Linked DNA regions of Struthio camelus. The protein of the gene in region 1 purifies or fractionates together with the protein of each later gene. This does not show direct contact. Links are inferred from orthologs where the notes say so. Each region holds a gene or a part of one and is shown on either strand. Other genes may lie near its edges.

Region 1 (7,652 bases):
AGCCGCCCACTGATCTTCTGTTTTCCTTCTCTAGGGGCCTGTAAATCAGCGGCTTTGTTGTTGTACTATTAACTATCTGTTCCAGTTGTGCACCCTCACACTCTCAGAAAACCCCCTTCAGTGCTGGCCGGGCTCTCCCCAGTTTCCCCACGGCCCGCGGTATCGCTTTCACACCAGGGCCCGCTGCAGCCTTGGCGGTGGCTCTGCGGGGCTCGCGGGCGCAGATCCCTTCCCTGAACTAACCCCCCGCGAGGCTGCAAGCCCTGCTGCGCCTTGCGAGCAGGGGAGCAGCTGGCAGCGGGAGGGCCCCAGCCTGCGGCACTACGCACAGCCAACAGGGAAGCCGAGGAAAAGAGGCAACTTGTCCCCACCGGCCAGGGAACAGGCACCAGGACGCGCCTTCTCCTCCCCGTGCTCGGCCAGCCACCCTGCCCGCAGCCCGTCCCTTCCTAACACCGCCTTTCCCGCCCGAGCCCGCAGCCGGAGCGCCCGCGCAGGGGCGGCTGCCGGGGCCATAGCCGGCCCCCTCGGGCCTCCCGCCCGCTGCCCCCTTACCTCCAGCCCCAGTGCCCGGCACGGCCAGCTCGCCCCGGCCGCTGCCCCGGGAAAGTCCCGGCCCGGCTCCGCCTCCCGGGGCTTCCCGGCCCCGGCTCCGCCCCGAGGCCCCGGGCCGGGCGCCGCCTGCGCCGCCCCGACGGGGCGGCCGGGCAGGGCCGGGGCGGCGCGGCCTCCCCTGCCCCGGCCTCACCGGGACAGCCGCGGGGGGCACCCCCCGGCCCTGCCCGCCGCGTCCCTGCCCCCCCGAGGGTTTTTAAGCCACTCCGAGCCGCTGGAGCAGGGGACAAGCAGGTGACAACGATGCTTGGCTGCATCGTGGCCGGCACCCCGCTCGCGGGCAGCTACCTCGGGGCAGCCCCGGTTCCCCTCATTTTGCTGCAAGTCAGGCCCGTGTGGGCCAGCTGCAGCCAGCACAGCCACCGGCACCTCCGGCCCCACGTCGGGGATGGCATCCGCCGGGCCTCTCGGTGTCACAGTCACCCAGCAGCCGCACACGAACCGGCACCCTCCCGCCAGCGGGCACTTGTGGGAGTGCTGAGTTACCCCCGCTGCACCCCCCTGGCTGGAGTCAGGACATGCGCTACCGAGGAGCCCGCCCCTGCTCCCCTGAGCACAGCCCCGGACCCCGGCAGACCCTGCAGCAGGGGTTACCGCCTTCTGCTGCCTGCCTCAGCACGGCCCCGGTGAGGTGACACCCAGGCACAGAAATGCAGGCACAGATGTCCTTCTGCCACCTCTGCTGCAGGGGGCAGAGACCAGGACAGATAGGCAGGGATAGCGACTTCTTCACTGCATTGTGAAACCTCTTGTCTTTCACCATCCTGGACTTGGGAACAGGAAGCTGTGCCAGCAGCAAGTGACACCAGCAAAGGGCTCGTGGCCACCAGCCAGGGGCTGTGGGGACCTGGAGGACCACTTGGCTCCGGCTCATCCCAAGGCCAGGAGACACCCAGCCCTCAGCAGCAGGGAAGGCATGTCTGCTTCACACTTGCCTGATTTTCACTTTTATTATTGCAAATTCACTGTTCTCTCTTTATAAATTTTTAAACATATATTATATATAAAAGTCAGAAATGCTCCTCTTCCAGCTATGTATACTGGCGGATTTATAGGCCAGTTTTGAGAAGGTGGGCAAATCAGGAAGCACAACCTGATCAACACGCACAGCAGCAGCAAATGCCCCTCTCAAGAGACGAGGGGAGAATTTTTTTATATATATATATGTAGATATATACATACATATATATGTAGATATAGACATACATACACACACACACACAGACATACACACACACTCTTCACCCTCCATCGTCCCGCAGCCCGCTGCCAGCCCACCCCCTGCCCAGGACACCCTCAGTGGGACGCGGCCAGGGGCCGAGCAGGGCTGCCGGACGACGGCCGGGCTCTGGGCACCTTGGCTGCCCTCACCCCTGGGCGCCGACACACGAGCCCGCAGGGCCGACCGGCGGCGCTCCCGGCTGAGCGCTGCTGGAAGGCACCACGCAGATACGGGCACCAGAGGACAGATCCGGCGTCGGAGCCGAGCTGGCCGCAGGCTTTTGTTCCCAGAGCAAGCGTTGCGCGTTTCCGCGCCTCCGCTTCCCGGTAGGGAGGGCTGGCAGCAGCCTGCCCCCAGCGTAGGAAACCCAGGATTGCGATGCGCAGCCTCTCGGGCTGCAGCGCGTGAGAACGGCCGCGGTACAGCTGAGGTCGGCTGCGCGGGCGAGGGGAAATCCCCCGCCGCGAGGACGGGCTTGCGCAAGCGCCAGAGCGAGCCTCTCCGGAGGCACGGCCCCACCAGGGAAGAGCCACCTCCACGCAGGGTGCGCAGGCGGACTGGCATCAGCACCAACTCACTAGGGAGGGAAAAGGCACTTTGTTTTTTGGCTCCTCCGATGTGGTCACAGCAGCTGGCTAAAAGGCTCGCTGCACGGCTAGCTGCAGCCGCCCCGTGGCAGCAGAGGAGGGAGGAAGCGGTTCCCTGCCCGGCGCACACGGCCTCGGTGCTCCGCAGGAATCGCGTTTCTGCAGATGAGGGGTGGGAGGAAGGTGACTGCTGCTCCCCGAAACGCACGTCCCATCGGAAAGGGGTCGTCCGTGATCGTCTCCATGTCACCGCCCAGGACTCAGCAAGGGCAATCCTGGAGTCTCTAGGGGCGAGCAGCCCCACCTCGGCCAAGCAGCCCTGGGCTGGCAGCACCCGTCGCCCGCCAGCACCTCCCACCCAGAGCTCCTTGGAGAGCTGCTGCCCTTCCCCGCACAGCGCTGTCGTGCTGGGGCAGCACGTCCACGGCCCCTCGGGAGGGGAGGGCAGGGCACCGACCGGCGTGCACCCACGCATACACGCACACGCACCCAGAGGCGATCGGGGTCTCGGGGCCGTTCGAGGCAGGGGAATCACTCGCACAGTCTGATTTCCTGGTCCCTGCTGCAGCCTTAGGGCTGCGTCCCGCCGGGGTCAGATCATCGCCAGGCCCTCCGCGTGGCTGTGGATGTGGGCGGTGCTGGACACGCTGCTCTCAGTTTTGTAACTCTTGGGGGCCCGGCTGGCTTTCAGGAGGACCAGGAAGGTGTCCGTGGAGATGGCCCCAAACTCGAAGGTGAAGGTGCCGTAGAAGACCAGGACATCGATGATGAACATCCACTCACACAGGGCGGCCACGTGCTGCAGCACGAAGCTCTCCTGGATGAAGAAGACACCGCCTGAGGGTGTCTGAGTCAAGGAAAGCATCGCCAGACCCCAGGCACCCAGAGGCACAGCCCCTGGAGGCGTGCTGTCCTAAACCGTCCCCAGCTCTGCAGGCCCCCTGCGTCCCGCAGCGGCTCGGTAGGAACCCGGTCCCAGGCTCACCCAGCGCCTCGTGGGCGAGCAGCAGCTCAGTGCTGCCCCGGTGGCTTCTCTGGGCTTGCTGGGGCATCAGGAGAGCAGCCTGTTGGCCCTCGCTCTGCACCCCACGTCTGAGAGGTGCCGAGCTGGCATCGCCGCCACCTTTGGAGCGTGCTGACAGGGAGACCTGCGAGCAGCCTGATAATGAATCTGCCAACTCCAGCCCCGGGTCAGGGCAGCACCAACCAGGCAGAGCAGGGTGGGAGAGGACTGCCTGCCACGACCTTAACCATCACTTGCTTCCATCTTTCCAGCGCAAAGGCTGTCAACAAGATGGAGAGCTAAGCGTAGCCCCTGTTCTCCCTCCCCCAAATCTCTGATGCCAGCCAAAAGCACAACCCCACTTCGTGCAGCCACTACCCCTGCCCTGTGACACTCCGGTCACCCTGGCAATTCACAGGACCGCTGCCAGCTGGGGGTTTTCTGAAGATGCCATGGGAAGGAGGAACTCAGTCTGCAGTCCGCAGGGTAACAGCCTGGTGCCTGCTGCATAGGGCAGACGGTCTGCCCAAATACCCCGACACACAACCATCTGCTGTTCCTCAGACTGGGCTTTCTCCGATACTCCCAGTCCTCCTGCTGGACAAACATTCAAAGTCTACAAAACTCATCAGCCCTTGACCCTCTTGGTGGCGTGGTCTGGGCTGCTGCCTCCCTGCCCTGCAGCAGCTCCCTCCAGCCCCCCTTCCCTCAGTGCTGCCCTGGGGGTTACCCTGGAGAGGGATCGTGCTGCCTCCCAAGGTCTTCCAAGGTGCTACCCCTCCCGTAACTTTTTTATGTTCTTCTTGTCCTTGCATTTCTCCAGGGAAACCTAATTCCAGAGTCACTCTAGGCAAGAGAGACATCCCTCAACCCTGCCGTGCCAGGCAGCTGGATCAGTCTCTTGTTATATAGTACACCGTTTTAGGAAACCCCCTTCCCTCTTGAGTCAAACGCCTCCCACAAGTTGCAGCTTGCTATTGGAGAGCCCAGGATGTGCCAGGTGAAGCCTCCTGCAGTACCCTGCCTCCTGCCAGGGGCATCCAGGCCCAGGAGAGAGAGTGAGAGGGAGGACCCCGACCTGCACAGGGCAGGCCCCTCTGCTTGCCCTCTCTAGTCGCTCCAGGAATGGTCCCACACATTTACCCCACATCTGCCCCCACCGCAGCTCCACGCTTTTCCCATTTCTAGTCCCGAGTGCCAGCAAGGCCAGCGGCCCTCCAGCCCCTTTGGGACCTGCGGACACTTTGTGCTCTTTCCCCTTCCTGCCCATATAACCACCACCTCGTTTCCCAGTTTATCCCTAAGGTCAGTCCCAAAGAAGTCCACGGTGCCCCGGCCAGACACGCAGGTCCGTGCTTCCAGCGACCGCTTAGCCTGTTGTCGTGCCCTGCCTCCCTGTCGTGCCGCTGGCAGACCCAAGCTCTCCCTCGTCCTGCCGGGCAGGCCAGCCCCGTGGTTTCCTGGAGCGCCCCTCTCCCACAGGACCCCGCATCCGCTGGCGTCCGCAAAAGCACAGCCGCACTCTGCTTCTCCTTCAGCCTAACGTTTGCCAGTTGGACAGCCGTCCGCATCTTAGCTGGCCTTGGCACTACCAAAGGCTCAAAATACCTTTGTCTCATTAATACACTGGCCCCTGTGCTCCGTGCACAAGCGGGACGAGACAGGCTCTCCCCCAGGCACCTCACCCTCCAAAGGGGGGGCAGGCTGCGAGCCCGCAGGGGTGGGATTCGAACCTGCCGCCCGGGGCTGCCGCCCAGCCTGCTCTGCGGGGCTACTGCCTTCATGTGGATGGCACGGCTCTCTGCAGCCAGCCGGGACCTCCCAGCGGCTGAGCTGGGCTGCGGCTGCCGAGAGGAACGGTCCGGCCTGAGCCCACCTAGGGCACCGCTCCATACCACGTCCTGGTCCCCGAGAGGCACCGGCAGCAAGTGTGAAACGTCTGGGCAGAAGGCATGTCCCTCCCCTTCCTCTTCCCTCAGCCTCCTCCCTTCCACTCCCCTGCCGCTCTCCGCCGCTCCCGCTGCCCGGCACAGCCCCGATGCTGCTGCTCCGCCAGCAGGTCCGCGCCGAGCCGCCCACCCTGCCCTGCCGGGGCCTCGTTCCCGCCGTCAGATTGAGGGCCGGGGAACACGCCGCAGGCGCCCCCTGCCCCACGGCCATCCTCTGCGCAGGGCCTGGGGCCTCTCGCCAGCCCGTCCCGGGAGACCTCCTCCCCGCATGCTGCTGTGCAAAGGATACTGAAGACGAGGGTGATGAAGGCCATGGCAGTGAGGATGCTACGCAAGTGGCCGGTCCAGTAATGCCCGCGGGTTTTGGCCATGCGGTACGTGAGGATGGACTGCAGGAACACGAACAGCATACTGGTGGGAAACGCCACCCCAGCACCGATGTAATGCAGCACCTTGGCATGATCCACCTGCGGGGAGAGAGCGCCAGCGCTGGCACCGCGGGGTGCACCCGGCACGACCGGGCTCTGCCCCCCTCTCCGCTCCCACAGGGTGCAAACCCCGCTGCGAGCCAGCGCCCCATTCCCGCGGCTGCAGCTCCCTGGAGCAGGCGGTGCCCGGGCAGCGGGACGGCCGAGCCCCAGGACCGCCAGGGAGAGCACCCCGGGCTGGGTGCTCGACTGAAGGGCACATTTAGACCCATCCACTGCTGCCAGGATCTCAAAGCGCATCTGCTTCCTCGATGCGTGGGACACCTCTGGCTTAGAGCCCCGCTGCGCGCAAGGCCATCGGGCAGGGGAAGCCCTGCGCCCATCTGCCAGCCTGGGACTGTCCCCGCCTTGTCCCTCGCTCCCGGCCTCCCGGGCCGACACAGCCCCTGCCCTCAGCCGAGCTGGTTGAGGCAGGGCTGGGGTGCGAGGTGAGGGCTCGGGGCCAGCTACGCTTCGTCCCTGCAGCGCCCGCAGCAGCCTCCTGCAAAGCGGAAGGGGAAACTGCTGCCAAGGAGGCGCGGGCAGGCGGCTGCGGCAGGGGCCGGGCTCCGGCGGCGCTGGCGCAGGGCACCCCGGCCGCGGCACCCGGCCGGGCTCACCTGCTTCTTGACCCTGCGAGCAGGCAGGGCCAGCCGCCCTCCCCGCGGCCGGACCGCCAGGGCAGAAAAGCAGCGCCAGAAGAGAGCAGCGTCTGCCGGCATCACCTCTGCAGGAGCAAGCATCCCCCGGGAGGGCAGGGCAGAGGGAGCCAGGCCAGGCCGCTGCGCCGGCAGCGATCGGCGCGCAGGGCGGCGGGTGCCTCCACGACCGCCCCGCCGGGCGCAGCCTCCGGCCGCGGCGGCCCCCGCTCGCAGCGAGCTCGGAGCGCGTCCGGGACAGCAGCCGCCCATGAGGCCGGCCGGCCGGCCCAGGGCGCACCAGCACCCGGCCCAGGGCAGCCGATTGCCCAAACGTTTGCTTTAGGAGATAAGGGTTAAACCAAAGCCGGCAGCGTAGTCGGGATCCGAAATCGTGAGTGTGTAAGCAAGGAGGAAACGCAGGGAGGAGCCGCAGCGTGCGGACGAGGTGGGGGAGCGCCTGAACCAGAACAAAACAACAGCCCCCCAAACCCCTCACAGCCGAGCGCTGCAACCCCCCCCCCAAAGGGCTGGGACACGAGCCCCGGGCAGCGCCGGGCTCCTGGCTCCGGGCCCCGGCCAGGGCCCAGCAGGGACCACCGCCCTGCCCCGGAGGAGCAGCCTTACCTGGAAGTTGCCGACCATGGTGAGGCCGGCGGCGCAGACCCAGCCGGTGGCCAGCCCCAGGGTGTTGAGGAGCGAGGGCCCGCAGCGCTCCAAGACGTGGGCGTACCGCAACAGCCCCACCAGGATCACTGCGGGACGCAGACAGGGCGCCGGTCGCGCACCGCCGGCGGCAGCCTCCCGCCGCCTCGCCAGGGGCCGGGGCAGCTCCGCCGGGCGCCCAGCACCCCTCGGCACCGCGCGCTTACCCATGAACGAGCCCAGGCTGCAGATGAGGCTGAAGAAGCAGCTCTCGGGAGGCAGGGTGCCACACTTGCTGCGGGGAGAAGGCGGCGGGTGGGCGGGCGGGCACCTGCTGCTGCCGCCGGGCCAGCCCGCGCCCTCCCTCCGAGCAGCTCCTCACCTGACCAGGGGGATGTGATCCAGCGTGCAGCACGAGCCGGGGCCGTCCACACCGCACGACTGGTTGTAGTTCCTGGGGGGAGCAAAGGAAGGGGCTCGGAGAGCGGGCACGGCGGGCAGGGGCCGCCTGCCGAGCCTGCAGGCA
Region 2 (7,536 bases), about 20 Mb from region 1:
TGGAGCTTTAGCAGCAGAACTGTGTAGTGAGACTATCCTCGTCCTCTTCTCCATGCCCTTCCATAACTTGGACCCATGGTTTTCTTTTCAATTTCTTTCATTTTCCCCCTAAAAGACACAGGTATATAGACAGACTTGTAAAAATGAAACATGGCCCTATTTTGCTCAGGCAACGGAGCTGAACTATGCTGACAAAATACTTTTTTGGCTATGCCAGCCTTAAAGGTTTTCATCTTACCACCTGACAAAACTCTTCCAGTGCGAACTCAGTGTGAGCTGGCAACAGCTTGGCAGCAGGATGCACTGACTGGAGTTATGCCAACTGTCGCTGGGGTGATTTGTTCCAGTTCTGTCATATACAAATTAAACAGAAGATTCGTAGTTTTTAGTTATTAGTCTCCAGTATGTACTTGAGGATGTTGAATTAATCATTGATCTCTTTACCTTCCCTAAATTACTACTCCTATCTAGTGTAATACACTGCTAACTGCTATAGGGACAGATTTGTCCACATGTTCAGTTTAAATGCAGGTGTACGTTTTCAAGTGGTTTTCTTGTTTGTCTCTTTTTGTTGTTTTAATAGAATTTCTTGATACAGTGGTTCATTCACTTGCCTTCTTTCAGATAACTTATTTCCTCATGTTCTGGCACTTTTTTTTTCTTTAGTAGTCCCTGCCTTTTTCTTGTTCATCTAGTAATTAATTTCTAATAAACGTAATCTCTAGTAAGTGTCATGGAAAAGGAGGCTTTACTGATGCGGGATAGCTAGGCTGTGGGATGCTCTCAGAATGTTGTCAGAGAGCACAGGTAAGCTTCACAGCATGGTAAGTGTTTGCAGTGAGTGAGTAACTGATATATATTGTTTCATTCCAGTGCTATCTTGCCCTGGCCAAGGGTGGCTTACTACCTGATCACGTCCTGATTTTGCCTATTGGGCACTATCAGTCCGTAGTTGACCTGTCTTCAGAGGTGGTGGAAGAAGTGACCAAGTACAAATCTGTCTTAAAGGAATTTTTCAGAAGCAAGGGAAAGAGATATGTCTTATTTGAAAGAAACTATAGGAGTCAGCATCTGCAGTTACAGGTATGATTTGAGTACAATAGCAGAAGAGCGCAACCTGAGCTTACATGCCAGTATGTTGAAAGAGACGGCTCACTCTCAAACTTCCCTCTTTCCTCTGTGCCTTCACAGAGTATGGATAGAAATCATCTTACCCAAGGATAGAGGCAGAACAAAAACAAAGCCTGGGTGCTTATTCTGCCGCAGTCCTTGTTTTTCCTGTTACAGCAGGCACAGGGTTGATTTGTGTAGAGTGAGTGAGATACAACTGTTTTTCCCCTCATGACCCTGATTAAAAAGCTCACAATGTGTACAGATGAGTTGGAAGACTTTGCTCGTACTCTTATCCGCTCATACTGGCACATGAACTGTGGTACTCATGCTGTAACTGAAGTAGGCTGAAAATCTAGAAATACACCTGCAGAGCTCTGGTATTGGTAGACAATGAATAACCTTTTGATTTGATTGTTTCCTGTATGTTAATCACTTGGTGGTTTATTGTGGTGGTTTCTGTATCTGGCAGATCTGTAACTGTATCAGAGCGGCCTTAAACTACCACAAAGATCAGAAAGGAGGGTGACCGTTCTGAGAACTCTTTCAGGCTATTAGTTTTCAGTTTTCTGTTCAACTCCTACAGAAAAATCTCTCATAAGTTTAAGCCTGTATAGATAGGTGCTCACCTGTCTTATATGATGATGACGAGCAGTACTGAGGAGCATACCAGCTCCAGTGATGGATTTATTGCTTTCTGAGAGTAAATGGTTTGTCTTTTCTCGTTATGAAAATGTTGTCCATGCTCTCCAGGTGATTCCTGTCCCGTTGGACCTCTGTACTTCTGAAGACATTAAAGAGTCCTTTATTGTACAGGCACAGGAACAACAGATTGAATTGTTAGAGATCCCAGAGCACTCAGATATCAAGCAAGTATGAGACAAGATTTCACCTGTCGTTTACCTCACCTCAATCCTTTCTAAGCTGGTATTTCACTCTGGGGTCGCTTTGCATGGTAAGACTAAGCTGTTGGAGGTAGACTGCCATAGACTTGAGTTGCAGATATGCCCGAGGTTTTCACTTCTGGATGAAGTCACAGTGAATGACAGATGATTTGCTTCTTTGCAAATTAAGGCCTTTATCTGCCTACAGCAGTTATACACCTTAGGCTCTCCAAGATGATCAATACTTGCTTTTCATATGAATGAAGCCTATGCTGCTAGGTGCACTAGATAGCACTGCTATCCTGGTGCGATTTACGAAGATGTCCTTTAGTTTTCTCGGAGCAGCTGAGTGTTTACTCGAGGAGAAACTCCAAATATAGGTTAGGCAGAAAGGTAAGGCAGAAATCTGACTTTGAGGACAGGAATGTAAAAGATAACCCTTGCCCTGCTACCCCAGCTCTGTGCACAGGTTGCTGCACTCACTGCTAGTGATACCAAAGCAGCCCTTTCTGTGTCAGTGCAAAGCAGGTAGCTTTAAATTCCCTTGGATCAGGATTTGGAAGAAATATTCCTGTTGTACCAGAGAAATTAGTCTAGTGATATAGGCTTCTCTGTAACCAATAATCACAGGGAGACCATATCTGCAGCAGGACCCAGAAACAGCACATATTTATGCTAGTTACTTTCTAAGCTATTACAAGTATTTATATCTGTGTCAGAAAACTTAGGGTTTTTTTTTTTAGCTGAGAAGTGTAAATTTACTCTCATGTGATTTTTTTTATCTACAATATGCTGTATTAGCTTGGGATGACTTAGCTAGGCAATTATGATCACTCTTACTAGAGGTGTCATTCTGCAGAATTAGTCCACAAAAATGTAGCATTGTGCTCATGGTGCTCCATATGCAAGTGTACAAACTGATCCCGGCTGAAAGCAATCCATCGCTTCACATCTGTCATGAGCTATGTTTTGAGATCTACCATTGACCCAGTTTGTTCCTGTTTGTGTGTTCTAATCTGACTTTCAATTTGCTTTGCAAAGGAAACTAAAACACAGCTAGGGTCCTCCTTGTTAGGAAGCATCAGCTCTTTGACAGAGTGGGGCCGACTTCTAGGACATGGCTACTCACAAGAAATACTTAGGAGAGGGCCTTTTTTGGTGTTTCATTGATGAAAAGGCTTTGGAGTGAACTCAGCCAGGACTGGACAACCCACAGGGTAAAGCCCTGGGGGGTTTTTTGGTGCATAGGCACATTTAAACTTCAGGATCTGCATGGTCTCGGGTCAGTCTTGGCAGAAGAATCCACAGGAAGCTTGGGTTTCCCTAACTCTAATATTCAGTTGAATCACGGTTCAAGTATAATCATCCAAGTGTAGTCATCGACATCTGTTACAGTGTCCAAAAAATGCACTTTTCTTGCTGTAGTTCAAAGCCAGTCTCTTATGAAACCCTGTCATTTTTAAATAACAGAACTAGGGTAGTTATTCTGCTCCGCTGTTGGGTTAGAACCCATTTGAAATACCAAGATGAATTTAACATTACTTGGAAGACTGGCGTGAAAATAGTCAGTGTTGCCCTGCCACTGTTAAAAGCTGCCCTTGCTCCCCTGAGGCAATAAGGGGCCTGACAGCTGGCAGTTCCCTGCTGCTTGGAGGTCAGCAGGGACCCTTTTTCTGGGCTCCATCTTTCAGCAAGGTTTCATCTTCTTTTTTTTTTTTTTTCCCCCCTTTCTTTCTTCCCCCACCTAGGTAGCCCAGCCGGGGACACCCTATTTCTACGTGGAGCTGGACACGGGCGAGAAGCTTTTCCACCGCATCCGGAAAAGCTTTCCGCTGCAGTTTGGCAGGTTTGGGGGTTTGGTGTTTTTTGCCCTTTTCTCTCCTCCCTCATGCTGTGGTGAAGCAGAGTGGCGCATGGGGTGCGGCAGCTCTCATGCCACAGGGCCTGTTGGGTGGGTGGGGGTGCTGTGATGTCACGCCGGGGGGGTGCTGTGATGTCACACCGGGCAGGGGAGGGGTGTGGGGGTGCTGTGACGTCACGCTGGGTGGGGGAGGAGTGTGGAGGGGGTGCTGTGACATCACGCTGGGCGGAGGGGGGCCTGTGGGGGCACTGTGATGTTGGGCCGGGCAGAGGGGGGCCTGGGAGGGGTGCTGTGACGTCACACCGGGCAGGGGAGGGGTGTGGGGCCGCCGTGGCCTCACGCCAGGCCGGGGGAGGGTGTGGGGGGCGCCGTGACGTCACGCCGGGCGGCTGACGCGGCTGTGCTTGCAGGGAGGTGCTGGCGAGCGCGGCCCTGCTGGGGTTGCCCCACCGCGCCGACTGGCGGCAGTGCACGGCGGCGCGACCCGAGGAGGCGGCCGCCGCCCAGGCCTTCCGCCGCGACTTCCAGCCCTTCGACTTCGGCCTGCAGCACTGACGGCGGCGGCGGACGTGCGGCGATGGGCGGCGCGGCGTGACGCACGCGCGCGCGCGCGCGCGCTCTTCTGTGACGCGGCAATAAAGGCGGTGTGGCGCGGGGCGCTGAGTGGCTGCGGCGCGGTCCGGGGGGCGGCGGAGGCGGCATGGAGCGGGCGCCCGGCGGCGCGGCGCTGCGGGGGCAGCCGGCGGGCGGCTGCGGCCCCTGGGAGATGCGGGACCGCCTGGGCACCGGCGGCTTCGGCAACGTCTGCCTCTACCAGCACCAGGTGGGCGCCGGGCCGGGGGAGCGGGGCGGTGCGCGCTGCGCCGGGCCCTCTGACGGCGCTGTGTCCCGCAGGACTCGGGCGCCAAGGTGGCGATCAAGTCGTGCCGACTGGAGCTCAGCGTCAAGAACAAGGACCGCTGGTGCCACGAGATCGACATCATGAAGAAGTGAGTGCGGCCGGGCCCGGCCCCGCCGCTGGAGCGGGGCGCCGCCCAAGCCTCGGCTGCCTCTGCCCCGGGGGCTGCCAGCGCGCTCGCTCCCGCCGCCCCTTCTGCCCCTAACGCGCAGCCCGGCATGCGGGGACCAGCCAGACCCCCTGGGTCTGATTCAGCTGCTGTGTGGGGTGGGGGTCTAGTGACAGCTGGACCCCCCTGTACTTGCATTTGACCAGTGCATGGGTTGGGGTCTAGTGACAGCCAGACCCTGTTGAGTGGAGTGGGGGGTCTAGTGACAGCCAGCCCCCTGGCCTCCCTTACCGTTGGTACGTGTCATGGGAGTCTAGCGAAAGCCGGACCCCAGCGCCCGCGTTTCTCTGGTATGTGTGATGGGGGTCTGGTGACAGCCAGACTCCTGGGCTGACATGGGGCTAGTGTTTCGCATGGGGGGGTCTAGTGACAGCCAGACCATTGTGGTCACATTCAGCCAGTATGTGGGAGGGGGATCTAGTAACAGCCAGCCCCCTGTGGTCACGTATGGCCTGTGTGTGATATGGGGGTCTGCAGTGACAGGCAGCCCCTCCGGGCTCGCATGTGGCTGGTGTGTGGGACAAGGGTTCTAGAGATAGCCAGCCTTCCCACCCTGGGCTTGTATACGGCCAGTATGTGGAATAGGGGTTTAAGTGAGAGTCAGAGCGCTTGCACACGTGTGGCCAGTGTGTGGGGTGGGGGTCTAGTGACAGCCGGACCCACTGGGTTCATGCACAGCCGATGTGTGGAGCTGGAGTCTAGTGACAGCCAGGTCCCCTGGGCTCCTATGTGACCAGCGTTTAGGGCTGGGATCTAGTGACATTCAAACCCCTCTGCACTGGTGTACCAGCTGGTGTGTCAGGCTGTGATCTGCCGATGTTCTGAGCCCTTCTGCTCTCATGTACCATCTAGCGTGTTGGATTGGGACCTAGTGATAACCATCCCCCCTGCACTTATGTGTTGGTCCATCTGTTTGCTCAGGACATAGTGACGTCCAGACACCTGTGTGCTTCTATACTGGCCCGTGCATCGGGCTGTGATCTGGCAATTAGGGATCTGGGAATAACCGTTTTCTGTGACGTTCTCATTCTTACTGAGTAACGTCTCCCAGCTCTTTTTAAGAAGAGGTTACTCACCCTGGGCAACCCGCAGTCCCTCTCCAGCATGTCACTCTGAGATACCTGTGAAACAGAGCAGGTGAAATTCATCCTCATGGACAGAGTTGCTCAATTATTTCTCTGGGTGTCAGGGATCTCGTGGAGCTGTTTCCTCATCATGGGAACTGCTTCCTCTCGAGGGAGATCCTGTAGCATGACATGTACAGTCCTGCTGGCAGGAGCAAGGACACCCTTCCAGAGTTTTATTTTGAGTAGTTCTCCAACAACTCAAAACCCTTTGCTGTACCCATGCTGCATGGAGCTTTACTGAGGTCATACTGTCCCTTGTCACGCTGATCTGCTTACATACATGCTGCTTTCACATTATGTTATCAATAGTGGAGGAAACCACTTGCAGGTATCGTGTTAGAGCTGAGTTTGCAATTCAGTATTGGGTGATCACTGTTTCTATCAACGTTTTCACTGCAAAACTATATTCATAGTCTGAATATAGGCACTGAATTGTACCTCTACAGCGTCTTTTGTGGTAACTCCCAGAGACTTTGGACTTTGTATGTTGGAGTAATTTATCTTCTTTCTAGATGTGTGTTTTATTCCTGAGAATAGCATATTTTGAGACAGTGAGGAAAAGCTGTTTGAATGTAGTTACCCAAATGATTTCTTCCCAGCGTACATTTATTTTACGTGCGTGGTTCTACTTCTATAGAACAATTACACAAGTGTTAACATATTCCTGTAAAACTTCTGGACTAAAGGGAAACTGCTTCTACATGCAGAAATAGAAACACATATGAAATGACTGTGCCAAGAATGTGCAGAAATCCAGAACTTGAGCTTGGATCTCCATCATCCAAGTCCTGTATCTTGACTTGGAGACCATGTTCTGCTCATCACTGGTTTGTGTATTCACAAGGTATGGATCTGATGCATTTCGGTACTGGGCAGCAGTAAGTTTGGGGAGATCTTACCTGAAACATAAAGCACGGTTGGTTGGCAGTCTTGCTCTCCCAAAAGAGGGGTCAAACTTTTCATCAGGCTCTCCGTGTGCCTAGGTTGAACCATCCCAATGTAGTAAGAGCCTGTGAAGTTCCCGAGGAGATGAACTTTCTTGTTAATGACGTTCCTCTTCTGGCAATGGAATATTGTTCAGGAGGTGACCTCCGGAAGGTAAGTTCTGCTTTGCTTTGACACACGTAGGAAAACGAGTGGAGTTAATGCTCTTTTCCTAACTGATTGTCTGTGAAACCACGTATATTGCAGGTGGAGGGAGGTAGACGTGTAGTAAAAAACGTAAGTGTGAAGTGAGGCTTGTGCTATGAGACCAGGTGATAGAGGGGATAATCCAAGGGCAGATATTACTTTATCCTGAAGTAGTGTCTCCTTTCATAGGACCGCATCAGCATTAATGCCGTTTCCTGTAGCCTCGATGTTAGCACCCACCATGACTGAATTTGCTGCTGCGTGCCTGTATCTGTTTGAAGTCTGATCTGTTTTTAATTCACGGGTGTCCAGTGTTGTGTTGTTTTCAGCTACAAGGAAGGATCTTGATTCTCTTG

The links.
Region 2: the proteins of NFKB2 (region 1) and CHUK purify together in Homo sapiens (affinity purification with western blotting; 4 studies listed by BioGRID and IntAct, with this or other methods). This does not show direct contact. The link is inferred for Struthio camelus from reciprocal best matches to the Homo sapiens genes NFKB2 and CHUK.

The regions. Positions count from the first base shown.
Region 1 is NC_090948.1:23,610,484-23,618,135, forward strand, and holds the start of NFKB2 (nuclear factor NF-kappa-B p100 subunit), read right to left. Parts: upstream 3,017-7,652; 5' UTR 2,914-3,016; intron 660-2,913; exon of another isoform or gene 556-659; intron 1-555. Other genes in the region: TMEM150A (transmembrane protein 150A), read right to left, coding at 3,017-3,261, 5,666-5,843, 7,109-7,236, 7,354-7,421, 7,509-7,580. UniProt on the Homo sapiens protein: NF-kappa-B is a pleiotropic transcription factor present in almost all cell types and is the endpoint of a series of signal transduction events that are initiated by a vast array of stimuli related to many biological processes such as inflammation, immunity, differentiation, cell growth, tumorigenesis and apoptosis.
Region 2 is NC_090948.1:43,888,092-43,895,627, reverse strand, and holds the start of CHUK (inhibitor of nuclear factor kappa-B kinase subunit alpha), read left to right. Parts: upstream 1-4,521; 5' UTR 4,522-4,555; coding exon 4,556-4,678; intron 4,679-4,749; coding exon 4,750-4,844; intron 4,845-7,032; coding exon 7,033-7,147; intron 7,148-7,536. Other genes in the region: CWF19L1 (CWF19-like protein 1), read left to right, coding at 874-1,083, 1,864-1,983, 3,743-3,840, 4,266-4,410.